Drosophila melanogaster: one gene and its partner. The protein of the gene in region 2 purifies or fractionates together with the protein of the main gene of each other region. This does not show direct contact. Each region holds a gene or a part of one and is shown on either strand. Other genes may lie near its edges.

Region 1 (6,963 bases), on a different chromosome or scaffold from region 2:
ACCAAATGGCAGAGATTCATCTTAAATCACACAGGTTTGACGAATGCTGTTTTAGTGCCCGAAAGTCTATTGAAGGTTTGGTCCATTAGTGCTATACTATTAAACGGTTATGGAAATACCTATATATCTATCTTTTTAGAGGCAAAAAAATGCAATAGCTACATTTGGCAGTTTCTGTGCTACCTACTGATAATAAAGGCGAATGCTGCACTCCACAAAGTCGAGCGAACCAGTGAAGCTCTAGATCTGGCACTAAAAATTTCCAAGGAATTGAAAGAAAAGCATATTCATAACTTCTTGACTGCCTGTATACACTGTAATGAGGAGGAATTCATCGTGAAGAAGCAGAGCATTTTTGCGAATAGCCGGCGCGAAAGCGAAAAATCGGTGTATAGTTCCCTGTCCGTGCGCCATAGCAATTAGAGCTTTGTATTATTTGTATAACCAAAAATATTGATTAATAAATTCTCAGTGCAATTATAATAGTGTAGTGACCTATTAGATACCTATACTCAAGTACCCCTGCGTATTTGGAATTTGCATTCTTATTATCAACTTGCAAGCTCCTTCATGGCTAGATCGACTCGGCTACTGATCCTCTTTTAAAAATAATGCTTGTGTAACGTATATATTACACAAACATCGGGCTTACTTTTCACTAGTCTAAGCAAATTCTTGTCTTAATTTATAAAAATATAAAATATTTTGCAACACTTTAAAATATTTTATGGGAGTACAGATAATAAGTGCTCTTCTTTTTGCAGTGTTTTTATTTTAGTGTAACATACAACAGTTCTTCGCTTAAATCGATGGTTTTGATACTACAAATATTACACTGATGCTTTCTCTACCAGCTTGGCCATCATCTTCTCCTCCTTGGCCTTTCGCTTGGCCTCCTTCTGCTTCTTCTTGTCCTCCTTCTCTTTTTGCTCTAGCATTTCCTTAAAGCGTTCGTCGCGTGTATCCACCTTGAACCCGAAGTGTCGGCGCACCTCCTCTACCAGGCGTTCCTTGCGTTGTATGGCTGCCGCTGCATCCGCCTCCCGCTTAGCGATCTTCGCGTGCAGGTCCGCCTTCCACTGTGTCAACTTCTCCATCTTCTTCGCAATGTCCTCTTCACGGGCATTTATCCTTGCCAGCTCCTCTGCCTTCTGCGCGCGGTTCTTCTCCAGCATTTTCAGGAGTGTTTCTAGTTGCATAACCTGCCTGCTGTCTTTCTCTCCGTGGGAATCGAAGCAAATCTTGGGATTCACATTGCTCTGGGCCCCATACCGGCCGAATGCCTGTCTCTGGTACTTCTCGGTCAAATGAATCCAGGAGTGAGGTTCCTGGTATGGCAATTTGTTAAGGAGCACATTTTTGTGTTGTGGTTGCAGGCCGGATCTGTCCACCGTCTGGGGATATGTTGGTTCCACATCCACGTCGCCGACCAAGGAAGCCGGCAGTTCCGCTTTCGCAGCGCTCGAGTACTGGGCGCACGAGCGGAGGGCAGGAAGTCTGGTGACAACGCTTATCTTGCCTACATTCATTTTGAATTGTATTGTCTAAGCAAAATAGTTTATTAATTTCCAATAGAGATGAGAGAAAATCGATAGCGATGACACCAATGCTGGCAACTAAACCCTTTTGGAGCTAAATTCAGATATTTTTTAGGCCCCGTCAGAAAGATAAGTAATAGATATTAATTGTTGTGACAGTCTGGCTGCATCCCAGCTCAAGCTCTATATATTTCTTTTTTCCTTGCTATTTATTTCTATCAATTTGTAATTATCGTTTCCACGATTTGTTACTGACATTTTACTTGTCAGTTTTTATTCCGAAAATAGATTTCTGAGGCTTAAAATTATCATTTTTATGTTGTCAGCTCAAAATATAAAAGAAACATAAATTGATTATACATACGGGCGGCGCACAAGTGTACCCTTAATATACCAATCGTTATCGACAACAATGGTACGTGCACATATGCCCTAATGCAAAACTAAATTCTTGAAAGCGCGGAATTGCATTTAAAACAACTCGTTTTACTTAAGTTGAAATAAGCATTTGCTCGGATAAAAGCCTACGCCACGACATGGCGGGGGATCGTGCCTTAAGTTCCAAGCAATTGGCGGGGCGCATACATTCCGTGTACTGCAAAGATTTCGTGTAGGTTTATTTCCATCAAAGGCGCAAATTGACAATTTCGCGGCTCATTTGATTATTTCCAACAACAGATCCTACAGCGAGATCACATTCCATCCGAAGCACTACCTGAACGTTCTGACCGGTCCCAATGGCAGTGGCAAGTCCACCATCGTGTCGGCCATAATTTTGGGCCTCGGAGGGGAACCGATTCTCCTTGATCGCTCCGCCAGCGTTGCCGACTACATACAGAGCAACAAAACCTCGGCCACCATAATTGTCCGGGTGTATGGACGCACGCCCAACACCACGGAAACCTTTCGGCGCATAATAAACTCTAATGGCTTGTCTACCTTCTCTGTGAACGACAAAGACACCTCCAAGAAGAACTTTTTGGCTGCTGTATCCTCCTTTAACATACAAGTCAGCAATTTGTGTCAGTTCCTCCCGCAGGATCGGGTTCAGGTATGTCGTTATGTTGGCAATTCATAAATTACACACCTATTTATTGTAAACATACTGTTTCAGGACTTCTCCAAGATGAATCCTCAAGAGCTTTTGCTCAACACAATGTCCTCCGTGTGTGACGAAGACCTGATCAACAGCTTCAACAGTCTAAAGCAAATGCGCACAGAACAGGCGAATGTCCATGCTAATCGGGAAAAAGAGAAAAGTGATCTGGTTAAGAAGCAAAAACGATTGGAACAGTAAGATATAGTTACCCGAGCTTATTTTTATTCACTAAGTAAAATGTAACCAAATGTGTGGATGAAGTACAAAATTTTAATTCTTACTAAAAACCTAATTGTCTTAATATCATTTTATTAGCTTACAAATGACTGTGTCCCAATATAAAGAACGCGAAGAGGTCAAGCAAAAGCTGCAGGTGTACAGTGCGAAGAAATTGTGGGTTGAGACTCAGGCTGGAGAAGCCAAGGCCGCAGAAATGAAAACTCAAGTGAAAAACGCAAAAACTCAGAGCGACAAATTGAAGAACCAACATGACAAACTTCTTCAATCCCAAGAACAAATTGAGAAGGAAAAAGAATCACTCAGAAAGGCCTTATTGGAAAAGGTAATGGGTGGCAGTGTTTTTTAATATATTTTTTAAAAATAAGTTTTTTTAGACACGCTTATTAGAAAACGCTGTAGCGGAGAAGGCGGCTATTGATGGTAAAATGGACTCTTTGAAGCAAGGAATTTACCAAAAAAAATATGAACTGGAGGTTGGTGTTCTTGTTGCATATATCGATCATGTGAATAACTCTTAATCTTACATTCTGTCACATAGCAAAACATTAAAAAATCACGAAGAACGGCCACAGAGTGTGATAACCTAAATCAGTTGGTGGAGAATAAAATTTACGAGCTTGAAACCCTAAATAAGAGCAGGCCTCTGATCGTTTCGGAACTTGAAAGGGCTAAGGAATCGTGCGCAGCTGCCCGCGGGAAAGCAATGGAGCAGTACAGCAGACGGAGACAACTGGAACAAAAACTGAATGATGAAATGATTCCTGAAATTACTGCGTATAAACTTAAAATAGAGCGGTTGAGAAACGTCAAAATGCAAAAGATTGATGTAAGTTCTTACTGAAATAATGAAAACTCAACTTAACGCTACCTTTCATTTTAGGAAATTAGAGCAAAAAATCCGAATTTGGTTGTGGCCATGAACTGGTTGGCGCAAAATAAGCAAAGGTACAAATTGAACGTTTATGACCCAATGATACTTGAGGTGAGCTTTTCAAAATGAAGCCATTACCAATGGCCTAATGTTAAAACCGCTATCATAGCTTACAGTACAAAATCATGAGGACGCAAAGTTTTTGGAAAACGTTGTGGCGCAGCGCGATTTATTTGCATTTGCGTGTGAGGACAAGGGGGATATGTCGGACCTGATCAACGAGTTGTGTGTGAAGCAAAAATTGGGAGTTAACGTTATTTACTGCGCACCATCCGATAGACTCGTGTACAGTCCCAAAACTCCCATCGATGATCTGCGGTATGCACTTGTCAATTGTCCAATACTAGTCCAATACCTAGTTTTAAATACTTTTACAGCTCTTTCGGATTTCGGTCATACCTCGTGGATCTTGTCACGGGACCAATACCACTAATAAACAAGCTGTGCGCTTCCTATTCCATTCATAATATACCAATTGGCACAGAAGCTGTGGGCAATTACACTTCATCCATTCCAAAAGCTATCCGAGTTTATTTCGGCGGTGTGTATATTTTTCTTATTCGGTTTCGCTTCGCAAATGTATAAATTCTGATTTTGAATTCCGTACTGTGCATTTTAGGCAGCAAGAAGTTCGTTGTGACCGCATCCCGCTATCGGTCGGATACTATTCTAACTGAAAGTAGCATTCGAGCGAAGAACCAACTTATTACAGTGGACTCACAACAACTGGCCCTGGTGATGAAACAGTGCTCCGAAGCAGTGAAGGAAAGCGACAGCATTAAAAACGCAATAACCCAGACCGACAATGAATTTGAACGATTGCAAGCTGTTGCAAAGGATGAGCAAGAGAAGAGACGAAAGCTTGACCAAAAAATAGCCCATTTTAATAGCCTGAAAACCGAAATTGAAACGCTCCAAAAGAAGCTGGAAGCCCTGCGCAATAGCGATTGTAAGTATTTCTTAGTGCACTAAATATTCAGCCATTATGAACCGTGTTTTTTCAGCGCTAGACTGTCTTGAAACCAATTTTTGTAACAGTTTGCATAAAGACTTAAAAAAAATATTCGATGCTGATGCGGAATTGTGCTCGTGCTTGAAAGCTATTGACCGACTTATAATTGAAAAGAATATGGCCCAGACAAAGGTATCCATTTATATGCTGCAACATGAGACTCAAATTGAAGCCCTCAAGGAAAGCGAGGAACAGAGTAAAGCAGCAACCGTAAGGAAATCGAAATGCACTTAAGGAATTTATTTATAGGAATGTTTTGCTTGCAGAGAGACTTCCAACAGTTGCTGCAGTGCTTAGAAAATCAAATTAGCGACGTTAACAAACGAAAGAGCGCTATTCAGGGCCTTTGCCACGGAGAAATTCCAACCAGTAGCAAATTTCCTTTTAAGAAGGAATTTAGGGAGCTGGAAAATATAGATTTGCCCGAACTACGAGAGGCAATACATGACTTTCAGGCACGATTGGAGTGCATGAAAAGTGTAAACTCCGAGGTAAAACACTCTTTTAAATTAGTGAACTGAAGCTGATATATCTAATAACTTTCCATATTAAAATATGCAGGCCATCAGCAGCTATCAAGGACTGCAAAATGAAGTCAAGCAACTGGAGGAAGGAATTCAAGAGTCTGTTAACCAAGCAAAGAGCATCGAGTCTGGCATGTCCAATTTATACGACAAATGGGAGCCCAAACTTAATAGCTTGGTAGAAACAATCAGTACCAAGTTCAGCGAATTTATGGAGTCCATTGAATACGTGGGAGAAGTTGTGTTATCCAAAACCGACAAAGTGAGAACTTAAACTGTCCTACATAAAAACTTTACTTCAAATGTATTTCACTTTATTAATTCTAGTATGACTTTGACTCATATGGTATTCAGATAATGGTCCAGTTCAGGAGAGGTCTCCAGCTGCAGCCGCTGGACAAGTTTATTCAATCTGGTGGCGAACGCGCAGTGTCCATCGCCATATACTCATTGTCCTTGCAACATGTCACCCACGTGCCATTCAGGTGATTGCGGAACCCAGCTGCAAACTGACGCCCGATTTATAGTTCTCCATTTCTAGGTGTGTCGATGAAATAAATCAAGGCATGGACGCTACAAATGAACGTCACATATTCGACTTGCTCCTCAAAGAAGCCACCAAGCACGGCTCGGCTCAGTATTTATTTGTAACACCTAAGGTAAATATAAATGCTTATTCATTTAAATATTTAGTTAACTGTTTTAAATCTTCTTTGTAGTTGCTTCGAGACCTGAACTACAACGAACATCTCTGTGTTTCCATTGTTCACAACTCAAAAACTGTTTGCCATGGCATGCAATTCCCGATGGCTTAGACACTTTGGGTCATCCAGATTTACTATATGTATTTTTTTATATTAAACACTACAAAACATATCTATTGCATTTTGTCGAATGACCAGCCTTGTGGGGACTCCTTTTCGAACTGTTGGCCTACTCGGAATAAAATCTGTAAGCCGGTAAACAAGTCCAAAGGCAATGATGCCTGACGATTTGTTTTATCAGATTTCAATTTGTCCTCGATTTAAAACCCTACAACAGCACCTATATCTTATTTCATATGTGAAATGATTTTAACACTACAATGCGAATACTTTTAAGTAAAGAGATGCCTTTGTACATATGTTTTTTAAGTAATTGGATAAACTATTTTGGGATGTTAAAAAATATATTTATATTTATATATATATTTATATATATTTAGATATGCAATTTAATGCAAATCATTTCTTTACAGGGTTAATATTAAGCAAAGTATGTCAAAAGTATGATCCCTCGACGCAAACTATAAAAGTTCAGGTTAACTTCAGATAGATGGTTAGTTTTTTATCAGCTCCAAAGAAGTCGGGTTTTGATCGCAATCCGTGTGTGCCCTTATTATGGTTGGGATTTTTTAGATCAGCAGTTATTGCTATATAGCCATATTTATAAATCTTCTACTGGCCTACTAAGTCCCAACATAATGAGAGTAAAAACCACAGGTTCGACGTTCATGTGAAGATTAGAAAAATACAGACAAATATATTTCATAGTTCAAAAAAAGTTTTTAATGTCTATTTTAACAACTTTTGAGTACTCCAGATAGAGAAGCGCACAGATATTTAATATGATTGCAACGA
Region 2 (5,289 bases):
TACCGTCGGGAGCGGCGGCTGCCATCGGAATCCTGGGCGGGAATATTGGTTCTCTGGTTGGCGTGGCCATATCGGCATCGCTGCTACCGCCTGCGGTTAACTCCGGTCTGCTGTGGGCGGTGGCCTGCATTTACAAGATATTCGAGAACGACGATTCGCTCTACGTGGATGTGATTAAATCGCGCCGCTACTCGGACAACCAGGCCACTGAATTGGCCGTGCTCGGCGGCATCAGCATGTGCCTAACTTTGTCCAACGTTCTGTGCGTCTATCTCATGGGCATCCTGGTGCTGAAGGTAAAGGAGATTGCCCCGGTGATTGGGCGCAAAAACCGACAGTTCTGGAAGCACGACATAAAGCTGGCGCGTAATGGCAAAGTGGAAACGGAGTCGGAGATACTCAACGAGCTAATAGCCAATCTGGCCACCGAAGACAAGCACGCACTGGGCTCCATCAATCGTCAGTTCCTGCGCCATCTGGACGAATCAAACTACCAGCACACTTGGTCGCCGCTCAGCAACCGACATAGTTTCTCAATGCCACAACCGCCTGGCGCCGGCATCTCCACCATCCATCGCCTGGAACAATTGTATGCGTCGAGAATAGGGTTTAATCCACCAGCAGTAGAACGACGCCAACGCCACAGCGTAGTAAGCAGACCATCGCAACGGAGCCACGAGGTCTCCGTTCAGCTGAGTCCTCCACAGCCAGTAAGTAGCACACAAAGCTGTCTTGTCTATCCCGAGTGCTCATTTCGTGTATTCCAGCGTCCACGATTCGCGAGCATGCCATCGCAAGTGGGAAAGGACGAGCCAGCTAGGGATGCGGCCATCCAAGTCGCGAGCTCCAAGAGATTTACGGTAACACCAGCTCGAGTGGACGAGCAGACCTAGAATGTTGTCAAGTCCATTTGGGTTTCCACTCTCACAGATCTTTGTATAATATTTAAATAATGTAAGTGTCAATTTTGTAAAGTTAATTAGTTGTTATACTCCAGCAGGGGGTATGTCCGTACAGAATCTGTGATAGTGCTAACCTGCAATGGCGTCCATAGCATAGTTAAGCGTATATGTGTAATGTGCATCTTTGTATAACAATTTCCAATAAAAAACTACAAGTCTAATCCGCTCGGTCCCTGCCGATCCGCTTTGACTTGGGCGCGACCACGTTTCAGTTGTAGACGTTCGCGGACCGCTCGCTCCTGGCGCCTGCGCAGCTTCTCCAGTGTCTCCTCGCTGGGTGGCGCAGGTGCCACAGCCTCCTGGGAGCGTATGATGGTGCGCAGCTTCTCCAGCGCATCGGCCAGGTTCATTTGCTGGGAGCGCGTAAGATCACTCTTGATGTAAAAGTAGCCGTCTTTGGTAATCCGGTTTGCCAGCACCTTGAGCAGCTTCTGGCGCGTCTGCTCGGGTATCCAGTCCGCTTGTGCCACCTTGAAGCGTACATCCACCTTGGTATTCACCGTGTTCACGTGCTGACCACCGGGTCCGGAGCTCCTGCTGTAGGTGATCTCCAGTCGGTCCATGGGAATGAAGCCGCTGAACTTGTCGCTGCCACTGGGCTGGGTGGGGGATGTATACATATATCAATAGATGGGATCCCTGAAGGCACTGCATCCACTTACCGGCGGGGGCGGCGTGTAGATTTGCAGTCGGGCGCCGGGATAGATCTTGTCCAGGGATAAATCGCTCTTGTAGGAGAGCTGACGACCCAGAAGGTTGCCTGTGCCGCCTGAGGAGCTGCTCTGGCGCAGAACTCTTATGAAGGCACTCGTAATTTTATTCATTTTATGCCAAAATTTCAATGAGTTAAGCTAAATTAAATGTTACGAGAACGACGTTTGTGTTCACCACAGAACAGCTGTTCGAGGTGAGTTGCGTGCAGTGTGACCGAACTTAGCTAAGCGCGACAATTCAAAACTCCCAAATCGAAAGCTTGTTTTATCTTTTATGTAACCGTGTTTTCTTTATTGTTAATCCTAAAAAACAATCTTTAATCTTAAAACAAGGGAAAACGATACTTTGTACGCCATACTCTGTAACTTTTCCACTGTCACAAGCATAAGGCAGTGTGGAAAGTGCATTAGGTAAGTCCTCTGGTTGAAGTGCGCACTAGCCAAGTTCCAAGCCATTAGTGGAGTGCCAATTTAGGCAATTTTCAGCTTCGTATGGCGAACATTTTCGTATTCGAAATGTCTGACCACAGTCCCTCTGCAACTTTCATTGAATGCGGTCGAGTGCGGTTGTGCGACGGCCGATTGTTGTTATTAATCCGCCGCAAACGAAACTGAATCCAGGTGGGCACTCACACCGATCTTCCGGACTATATTGCACCGACCTTAAATATATACACGTATATCAAAGACTGGAGAACCCAAAAACTAAATGTTTACAACGTGCGGCAAACGCGAAATTTGCGGTTTTCATTAAACAGTGAGGTAGATAGTGGTTGCGATCGAGTTCTCGTTATATTTATATTTCTGCTTTCGATCTTGTTCTTGTTTTTTTTTTCTCCTGCTCGATTCCAATTGGAAGCGTTCGATCGGTCCAGAAATCCAGAATTATTCTTTATTGATCGCTGTGACTGCGTGTTCGCCGAGAATTATTCGTCGTCATCAACAGAAGCGGCCCGAATTGGCTCATAAAACATAAAAATCGCTTGGCAGCAGCCACACGGAATATATATATATATACATATGTATAAATTTATTTATATTTGTACGCATATATAGTTAAAATTCGAGACGAGACGCGAAAGGCGAGGCAAACAAAACAAGCAAATAAAAACGTAACAAAACAAAAACGAAGTGAACAGCGTGTTTTTCGGGATACTCCTTTCGTTCTTACCTGAGTTTTCGACTCTCACCTTTGCAGCCGGCAATTAGCATCCCCCCCTTCGATCCCCGGAATACCGCACCCTCCGCTCGCGAGTTAAACTCTAATAAACGCAGGATCAAAAGGACACCATGGCTATGCAACGGGAAGCTGGAGTGCAGGACTTCGTCCTCCTCGACCAAGTGTCCATGGAGAAGTTCATGGATAACCTGAGAAAGCGGTAAGTTTGCCTCTAAATTATTTAAGAATTACAAGCTAAGCTAGAATTTTTAATAATAACAAAAGACAGAGAGATTACTTTTACCTTTACCGTATCTATTGATTCCTCCGTTGGCCTTGTCCTCCGCCAACTTGTCCATCTCCACTCCACATCACAAACGACTCCCCCCGCGAACTCCGCGCCTTTGGGAAAACCACTTTTCCTCCAGTCGATGGTCTAGTTCAAGGCTTCTGTTTTGATCGATTAGCGAGCGGAAAAACTGGTTTGACCGTAGTTCTTGGCTTTTCCGCCTTGATTAAACTGGATTTGCTTATCGGCGTTTCAATTAAAGCCGACCTTATCTCCCTCATTTAACCCCTTCCCGCCGAGTTTTCGGTTCCACTCCAGAGGGCACTCAATGGACCCATTTACGTGCTCATTTGGAGTGCTAAACTCTCCTTTTTGTGGCATGACTTTCGGTTTTAAATGCATTCATTAGTGGCATTTCAATTCAATTTGGTAGTTGAACGGAAAGTGGTAATAGATTTGATGGAAAAGGAGAGAAATTCTTAAGAAATATGATATATTTAGCTTAATTAAAGGTTTTTTAAAGTTGGTTACAAACAAAAAATGTGACTACAAACTGCATGAATAAATATTATAAAATGATTGAGAATCAAGCTAACATGTTCAAATCTTTCTGCTTTTTGTAGTTTAAAATAGTAGTTATCAAGTAGCAGATGTATCTGTAAATCATCCAGCTACCATTATCTAAGTTAAATATTTAAGAGAGTGAAATCCATGTCACATTCCCACTCCGGGGACCAACCGCCCAATCGCGTGTCAATATTTGTGTGGCCGGCACTGTGGTTCCAGGTGGTTACCTACATGACCATTATGTAAAGTTCCTTAACCCACCGACAACCACGCAGCCACAACCCACATATATCATTTCATTTTATTTCATTTCGGTCCGAGTGTCAACAACTTGTTGCAACCGCTTCCTTTGCACTTGGAGCACGAATGGATTCCCCATCCATTTTCATACCGGGTCGCTGGTTTGCTGCATGGCTGGCTAACTTTCATGTGGAAATGATCGTTATCCGGAAAAGTTCTCGCCACCACATACATTTTGTTCAACTGATTGGCAGAGCATTGCAAAATTGTAGAAATTCGGGGTTTTGGTAACAAGTCTGCTGTTTGATAATTAAATGATTATTTTTCCAAATATTTTGCAATGTCTATAAATAAATGGTGTTACGATTCCCCGGCACTGATTCATCTAATCTGTTTATGTTTATATTCACTTAATTGCTAAAAGACTCTCGGACGATTCATCACAATAACGATTTGAATGATAAGACAAAAGCTGCAAATGAGTCAAATTGTTCAAATTGCCATCGCAAAAGGAAACGCATTGGAGTAAACCCAGTTGTATTTTGAGCTGGTTAATTACCATGGTTGAGATTAGTGGCTTGCATAAGACTGTAATTAAAGCGGACTTACGGCCAAAGATGCGTTAACCCACTTTGGTGGCTCACAAATCGCTTATCAAAGCATCAGCAAATCAAATTAAGCTGTGTAAATTGAACTAATTACATAATCACAGTCATACCTGCAATAGCAAACACGATTTTCATGTCTTACTGTACGGCATAATCGTAGCATAACTCAAATCAATTTGCTGTTTGTTAATAAATATTTAACAGGAAAGCCGGAAAACTGAAAACCAAACGAGTTGAGAAACTCGCCTCAACAAATTGAGGGTCAAAAACGCGCCAAAAATGGGAGGAAAACGCACACGTAATTGGAAAATGTGCGATGAAGACGTAAAAGAAATAAAACTCACTTTCATTTGGCATCAATCAAATGGGGAAATGAATGCATTTCGCTGCACATATATATATATATATATATATATATATCTAGTTTACTTGTTTGCCACATGACATCACATGTGTACTCATTGTTTGGCAGCTTGAAAATCCTATATTTTATTTAAGCAATATTAAATATATCTGCATGCTCCGTGACTCATGCTGTGTATCTTGCAGATACGCGAGTCAACAATAAGAAAACTGAAATAAAAATGCCATGGCGTAGCCAAAATACGAACCGGTTGATGGCGTCAGTTTGGCCGAGAGAGACTCACCCACAAAATAGAAGAGTGTGTATGTGTTTTTGAAAAGAAAACTTGTTTCTTTTTGCCCCCAAAATGAACCCATCTGGGATTCCACGATCCCCCAAAAGAAACAG

Evidence for each region.
Region 1: the proteins of Myo31DF (region 2) and SMC5 purify together in Drosophila melanogaster (affinity purification with western blotting, with the first as the bait; one study listed by BioGRID). This does not show direct contact.

Annotation. Positions count from the first base shown.
Region 1 is NT_037436.4:21,567,305-21,574,267, forward strand, and holds SMC5 (structural maintenance of chromosomes 5), read left to right. Parts: upstream 1-1,947; 5' UTR 1,948-2,074; coding exon 2,075-2,148; intron 2,149-2,216; coding exon 2,217-2,589; intron 2,590-2,652; coding exon 2,653-2,831; intron 2,832-2,952; coding exon 2,953-3,199; intron 3,200-3,251; coding exon 3,252-3,350; intron 3,351-3,415; coding exon 3,416-3,703; intron 3,704-3,757; coding exon 3,758-3,859; intron 3,860-3,917; coding exon 3,918-4,126; intron 4,127-4,185; coding exon 4,186-4,349; intron 4,350-4,427; coding exon 4,428-4,757; intron 4,758-4,812; coding exon 4,813-5,030; intron 5,031-5,086; coding exon 5,087-5,311; intron 5,312-5,381; coding exon 5,382-5,606; intron 5,607-5,671; coding exon 5,672-5,829; intron 5,830-5,885; coding exon 5,886-6,003; intron 6,004-6,063; coding exon 6,064-6,159; 3' UTR 6,160-6,219; downstream 6,220-6,963. Other genes in the region: CG7634 (uncharacterized protein), read left to right, coding at 1-75, 140-423; CRIF (CR6-interacting factor), read right to left, coding at 831-1,529.
Region 2 is NT_033779.5:10,503,691-10,508,979, reverse strand, and holds the start of Myo31DF (myosin 31DF), read left to right. Parts: upstream 1-2,200; 5' UTR 2,201-2,965; coding exon 2,966-3,054; intron 3,055-5,289. Other genes in the region: CG7384 (uncharacterized protein), read left to right, coding at 1-710, 768-893; CG6094 (uncharacterized protein), read right to left, coding at 1,112-1,561, 1,625-1,786. UniProt on the Drosophila melanogaster protein: Unconventional myosin that functions as actin-based motor protein with ATPase activity. Binds to membranes enriched in phosphatidylinositol 4-5-bisphosphate, and can glide along actin filaments when anchored to a lipid bilayer.